Linked DNA regions of Tribolium castaneum. The protein of the gene in region 1 purifies or fractionates together with the protein of each later gene. This does not show direct contact. Links are inferred from orthologs where the notes say so. Each region holds a gene or a part of one and is shown on either strand. Other genes may lie near its edges.

Evidence for each region.
Region 2: the proteins of Cp190 (region 1) and Chro purify together in Drosophila melanogaster (affinity purification with western blotting; 3 studies listed by BioGRID, with this or other methods). This does not show direct contact. The link is inferred for Tribolium castaneum from reciprocal best matches to the Drosophila melanogaster genes Cp190 and Chro.

Annotation. Positions count from the first base shown.
Region 1 is NC_087400.1:882,644-887,162, forward strand, and holds the start of Cp190 (centrosome-associated zinc finger protein Cp190), read left to right. Parts: upstream 1-1,610; 5' UTR 1,611-1,760; intron 1,761-1,900; 5' UTR 1,901-1,918; coding exon 1,919-2,378; intron 2,379-4,519. Other genes in the region: uncharacterized protein LOC100141873, read left to right, coding at 648-734. UniProt on the Drosophila melanogaster protein: Plays a central role in chromatin domain organization and boundary function through recruitment by a range of insulator DNA-binding proteins, including ZIPIC, pita, CTCF, su(Hw), cliff and others.
Region 2 is NC_087395.1:22,938,644-22,941,505, reverse strand, and holds part of Chro (titin), read right to left. Parts: coding exon 2,311-2,862; intron 1-2,310.

The DNA.
Region 1 (4,519 bases):
ACCCCATGAAGTGTATTATCGTTGGAAAGCCCTTTTAATGATCTATCATTTGCAAAAAAGATTATTGTTGTCCGACTTATAGTTTTCGAGAAAATGCAAATAAAAGCAAAAATTAGATCATATACTCAAAAATTCATAACTAAAAAACTATCAGGAATTTGGCGCTTTTCTTGATTCCAATCGATTCCCCGGATCATTTTGCATCGGTGTGAATCAAAATAGTTCCACTTTTTAGAATAGTTTAGCCGTAAATGAGAAAATAAAAAAAAATTTAAAAAAAGTTAACACCCCCCCTTAGAAATCGGTCAATTTTTAAAGTGTCTCAAAATCAAATAAAACCGATTATATCTTCTTCTATTCTAGTTTCGTCAAAAAATTCAAATGCCTTCTTGGTGTTGCAATTTTTATGATATTGAGTAATTAAAGTATCGATATTTGTATGTTTTTTTTTATTCTAAAGTTGTAAACATGGTCAAAAAAATTGAAATAAGGGTGAGGTGAACAATGATTATTAGAAAATGAAGAGAATAAAGGAATTATTGTTTCGTAAATAAGAAAATACAAAATAAATTTTTTTTTCATTCACTTTCATTCACTTTTTCAAATGTTTGAAAAACATCAAATAATAATGTTTTTTTTTGTTTCAGGTGAGACAGTCCCTGGAAGCGCTATCGACCCTGTTGATCCCCAACAACAGGCAGAAAGAAGCGAGTTCCAGAGACAGCAGCAGTTAGCCACGTTAATAACAGTGCTAGGAATGTGATCAGTATTCAATCTTTTAAATTTAGATTTAGCAATATTTCACTTAAATATTGTTGCCACCATCCCAGTATCGACACTAGGCCGCGCTGTTTCATCATATTTGCCAAATCTATTATTGCCATAAGGGTAATGGAACTACTCCTATGTATAGTCCGCACGTTTATACTATAAGCTCAATTTGTCACGAGGGGTTTTTGGTGTAATGGACCGATGATTGTAAACTGGGACTTGTTTTTAATAGTTAATTAATTTATCGCCATCTAGTACAAACTTATTTTATAATTCCACTTTAGTTCAACGCGCCCAACACTGTCTAGCAATAATATCAAAGGATTTTTTAAAAAAAAAGATTGGGAACTAATGCTGTGAATTGGTACTGAGCGATTTTCGTAATTTTAGAAACTTCGTAATCCTGATTAGGCAGAAACTTGTTGAAACGTTCATCCTTTATTTCAATGTACAGTTTAATAGGAACGATTTACACTGTTTTTAATTTTACATGTACCTACGATGTTTATATGTTAGGTGTTAATTTATTGCGGTTAGAGTTGTGTTTTGTCAATTGTTTTGTAACATGTTAACATAGAAGAAACCTGTGATATCTTATTTGTTTTGCTTTTATCAATAAATAGTTACAATTTAATACAAGCGCTTTTTTTTGAATCGCCGAGCACCATCTCTCGGCCGCCACCTCGCACCAATCATTGATCGCCTCAGCCGCCAAAACAGATCACACCAAACGGCACAAATAACTAAACCACACCTTAATTGTTACAACAATTGCACTAACTACGAGTTAAACTAATCGTGACGTGGTAATTAACCGCTAAATTGCGGAATTAGCGCCGGTTGAGTGTTAATCAGTGGTTAGATTCAAACGTCCCGCGTGTCACCAACCAACGGCCGCGCCACCTACGAATACAAAGAAGTAGTAGCGTATCGCCAATATGTTTATGCGTCTGTAGAGATGGAGCTAATATTTTCAATATAAGGAAAAGGTCAGTAAATTTGAATTAGAAACATTGCGAGTACCGCGCCCCCAGCCGCCCCCAGGCCCCCTGCCGCCGCCCCAGCCCCCGGAATGCGCCGCTGGCCGAGCTAGCCCAGAGCTGTACTTGTTTTTTCTGCTTGCTTCCAGGGCCGGCTCGGGACTAGTATGAGGTTATATCCGAAGATGGGGGAGAACACCAAGCAAGTCCGGGTGGACAATTGGGGCATTTTTTTCCTGCAGCGGCTGCAAATGTTCTTCAGCAAGACGGACTACTGCGACATGACTCTACAGTTCGAGGGGAACGTGCAGCTGAAAGTGCACCGGCTTGTTATGAACGCCTGCACGGAATACTTCCAGTTTCTGGAGCAGACTTGTGCCCTTGAGGAGAACGTTATCATGATGCCTTCGGATCTGCAAGCCGATGTGATTGTGCCCATTGTTAATTTTATGTACACGGGGATGTTGGAGTTCCACTTGTCGATCTTCGATAGGTTGTATAAAACGGCACAGCTTATGAATATCACCATTTTGACCAAGTTGTTGGATGCACAGAAGCATCCGGTGGCCTCGGCGGTCAAGAGTCTCAAGAAGAAGGCGCCGGACAGCCCCCTGTTCAATGCACAAGGTAAGTCATCTGTTCCAGTTCTTTTGTTTGTTTGACCCATGTTTTGAATTTCCACATTCGTGTATTTCTATGTTTGTATAAGACAATGATTTTAGAATTAAGTTGGTGGCACTGAATTATACACAAAATGAAGACTTGATTATTACAGTATTCATTGTGATCTATGATGATTGTTCTTATAAGTGGAAACGGGATAAACAAGTTATTTATTTATTTTTATTTTTTTAGTTGATAGTTTAAGTTCAAACTGTTTAGAAAATCCTTGCATTGTGCTTTTAAAAACATATTGAAGCAAAACTGAAACCACAAAACCACAGAAAGAAACGCAGGCGCGAAAATTTGAATTTGAAGTTAATTCTTTAAATATCTCGGGAACTAAGCATTGGTCACAATTTTGTCCTATGAGAGAAAAGATGCGTCTTGATGTAAGCTAAACGACGGTCTGGTTGAAACTGTAATTTTCAATAGTCATTTTGCTATCTCATTAAGGAGCCATAAAAGACCTACTCATTTTAGTGTTTTTGTAATGTCCAGTTCAGGCGGTGAAGTTTGAGGGGTCAGTCGATGGGGTTTGCATAAGTTTGAAAAACCCACCCTTAATTTTTTTTCCATTTTTTGTAATTATTTTTTCTAGTTTGGGGGACTGTTTGCAGTGGAGAATAAGTTGGTAGTAGTTTAAAAATTTTCGGTCAATTAGGAATAGAGATATGGGCTTTATTTTTCGAAGGGTTGTTTTTTATGAAAGTGGCTTAATGTGATTTAACTCTCCGTATTTTGTTCTATTTTGTCTGTTGTTGCTGTAATTGTACGACCATGTTGAAAGTCGTCAGAAACGTAAAAAAAACGGAATTTCCGCCCCACCAAAAACTAAGGGTGAGTTTATTTTTGTGTTTGTATGCTGGCTGTGAGGGTCTTATTACGTAATCGTAAAAGTGGGACTTAAAAAAAAAAAAAAAAAAAGGAGAAAGGGGGTGAATTGCATAACATACAGTCTATTCAATATTTATGGATTTCCATATGTCTTAACAACCCACAAAAGTTGTTTTTAGTCCACAAAAAGTCCATATGTTCGATTTTTAGAAGTTTGATTTTTCAATTTTCGTCGCAATTTTTGTCGATTTTGGGTACCCGGAACTTTTGTCAAGCAATAGCTCCGGAACTATCAGAGATAACCCCATGAAGTGTATTATCGTTGGAAAGCTCTTTAAACTATCTATCTTTTTCAAAAAAAATTATTGTTCTCCGACTAATAGTTTTCGAGCAAATTGGAGACAAATGCAAAAATTGGTAAAATTTTAAAAAATTCATAACTAAAAAACTATTGGGAATTTGGCAATTTTCTCGATGCCAATCGATTCCCCGGATCATTTTGCATAGGTATGGATCAAAATAGTTCCACTTTTTCGAATACTTTAGCCAGAAATGAGAAAATAAAAAAAAATAAAAAAAAGTTAACACCCCCCCCTTAAAATCGGTCAATTTTTAAAGTGTCTCTAAATCAAATAAAACCGATTCTATCTTATAGATTTTGATGTGCTCTTTCAGATCTAAAAAAGCGTTTTCTCCTAACTCTTTTAGTTTGGCCGTAATCGGCGTTTGAAAATTGAAAAATTTTTTGCGAGATATCGCCTTGAGTCCTATGCCATTTTGTAGAGTTTTTTATTCCGGTTGTCCTCCATTTTTCTGTTTCTCGATAACTCTAATAGTTTCGCCGTAATTGGCGGTTGAAAATTGAAAAAAAGTGAAAATGGAAACCTTTTTTTGCGTTTTTCTCGGAAACTGTAAGACTTAGAGCAACGAACAAAAAAACATCTGATAGCGCTTAATTTTATCTATTTTTTCGTCCAAACCCGGAGCCGCTCCGGGCAACGGTTCCGGCTACAGAGGCGATCAAAGTTTTTCACTAAAAAAATTCATAAAAAAAAAACTAAAAGTCGTAGAGCATTGCGGTTTGTTCGGTTGAATTCTACGGCTCATTTTACATAATATATCAATTTTTCACAAGAATTAAAAATTAAAAATTTTTTGCCTAAATTTAGGGTAGCCATTTGTCTTAGTGAAAAATTTTATTCATTAAAAAAATTCATAACTCGAAAACTAAAAGTCGTAGAGCAATGCGGTTTGTTCCATTGAATTCAGCG
Region 2 (2,862 bases), on another chromosome or scaffold:
AAACTACCAAATATTTTTTAACGCCTTTTTGGGTATTTGTGCCTCAAATATTGGTCTACCAACTCAGAATAATTCGAAACAAAATGTGCACTAGAACAGTTATAAGAATTTAATGAATTGTCTTACGACAGTCGAGAAAAAAATTAGCAACATCAGAAAATAAAAAATTCATAATTCTGAAACTACCAAATATTTTTTAACGCCTTTTTGGGTATTTGTGCCTCAAATATTGGTCTACCAACTCAGAATAATTCGAAACAAAATGTGCACTAGAACAGTTATAAGAATTTAATGAATTGTCTTTCGACAGTCGAGAAAAAAATTGGCACCATCAGAAAATAAAAAAATCGTAATTCTGAAACTAGCAGATATTTTTTAACGCCTCTTTGGTTATTTGTGCCTCAAATATTGGTCTACCAACTGAGAATAATTCGAAACAAAAAGTGCACTAGAACAGTTATAAGAATTTAACGAATTGTCTTTCGACAGTCGAGAAAAAAATTAGCAACATCAGAAAATAAAAAATTCATAATTCTGAAACTACCAAATATTTTTTAACGCCTTTTTGGGTATTTGTGCCTCAAATATTGGTCTACCAACTCAGAATAATTCGAAACAAAATGTGCACTAGAACAGTTATAAGAATTTAATGAATTGTCTTTCGACAGTCGAGAAAAAAATTAGCAACATCAGAAAATAAAAAATTCGTAATTCTGAAACTAGCAGATATTTTCTAACGCCTTTTTGGCTATTTGTGCCTCAGATATTGGTCTACCAACTGAGAATAATTCGAAACAAAAAGTGCACTAGAACAGTTATAAGAATTTAACGAATTGTCTTTCGACAGTCGAGAAAAAAATTAGCAACATCAGAAAATAAAAAATTCATAATTCTGAAACTACCAAATATTTTTTAACGCCTTTTTGGGTATTTGTGCCTCAAATATTGGTCTACCAACTCAGAATAATTCGAAACAAAATGTGCACTAGAACAGTTATAAGAATTTAATGAATTGTCTTTCGACAGTCGAGAAAAAAATTAGCACCATCAGAAAATAAAAAAATCGTAATTCTGAAACTAGCAGATATTTTTTAACGCCTCTTTGGTTATTTGTGCCTCAAATATTGGTCTACCAACTGAGAATAATTCGAAACAAAAAGTGCACTAGAACAGTTATAAGAATTTAACGAATTGTCTTTCGACAGTCGAGAAAAAAATTAGCAACATCAGAAAATAAAAAATTCATAATTCTGAAACTACCAAATATTTTTTAACGCCTTTTTGGGTATTTGTGCCTCAAATATTGGTCTACCAACTCAGAATAATTCGAAACAAAATGTGCACTAGAACAGTTATAAGAATTTAATGAATTGTCTTTCGACAGTCGAGAAAAAAATTAGCAACATCAGAAAATAAAAAATTCGTAATTCTGAAACTAGCAGATATTTTCTAACGCCTTTTTGGCTATTTGTGCCTCAGATATTGGTCTACCAACTGAGAATAATTCGAAACAAAAAGTGCACTAGAACAGTTATAAGAATTTAACGAATTGTCTTTCGACAGTCGAGAAAAAAATTAGCAACATCAGAAAATAAAAAATTCATAATTCTGAAACTACCAAATATTTTTTAACGCCTTTTTGGGTATTTGTGCCTCAAATATTGGTCTACCAACTCAGAATAATTCGAAACAAAATGTGCACTAGAACAGTTATAAGAATTTAATGAATTGTCTTACGACAGTCGAGAAAAAAATTGACCAAGTCAAAAAATAAAAAATTCGTAATTCTGAAACTAGCAGATATTTTTTAACGCCTTTTTGGTTATTTGTGCCTCAAATATTGGTCTACCAACTGAGAATAATTCGAAACAAAAAGTGCACTAGAACAGTTATAAGAATTTAACGAATTGTCTTTCGACAGTCGAGAAAAAAATTAGCAACATCAGAAAATAAAAAATTCATAATTCTGAAACTAGCAGATATTTTTTAACGCCTTTTTGGCTATTTGTACCTCAAACATTGGTCTACCAACTGAGAATAATTCGAAACAAAAAGTGCACTAGAACAGTTATAAGAATTTAATGAATTGTCTTACGACAGTCGAGAAAAAAATTGACCAAGTCAAAAAATAAAAAATTCGTAATTCTGAAACTAGCAGATATTTTTTAACGCCTTTTTGGCTATTTGTGCCTCAAATATTGGTCTACCAACTGAGAATAATTCAATATAAAAAGTGCGCTAGAACAGTTATAAAAAAAAATAAAATTGGTTGGTTTTGGCGTTCAGTGTACACACTGAAGTGTTACTGACCTGGACTTGGAGGCTCAGCCCTCATAAACTGCACCACAAGGGGCTCCTCCGGGTCCTGCTCCATCAACATCTGCGTCGTAGCTTCCTCACTCTGCTGCTCCGCCGCCTCCTGGACCGTCTCCCCCGTCACCAACAAACACTGCTGTTGCCCCTCACTATCTTGCGTCACAAGAATAGTTTGCCCCTCTTCATTTTGCCCCGCCACTTGATAAACCGTCCCATCATCTCCCGTGATGTACATCGGGCGATCAGTCGCCGCAAACGTCATGGTCGGGACTTCACCCTCCACTGTTGCTTCCTGTTGCCCTTCAACCGGTTCCTCGTCCAAAGACGGCATACTGATGGGGGCACTCGCTACCACTTTCGGCGGACTTTTCTTCACCACCGGTTGGGGGGCTGCTGGCGATTTCGTCCTGTAGATGGTCGTGTTGCCGATTTTTTTCGCCACGTTGTTGCTTTTCGGCGAATAGACATTTTTCGTTGGGGACAAGGGGGCGATGTTGAATTTGGGTTTGGGGAGCGGTGTTTTGGGGCGTATGGCTGCCGGCCGGG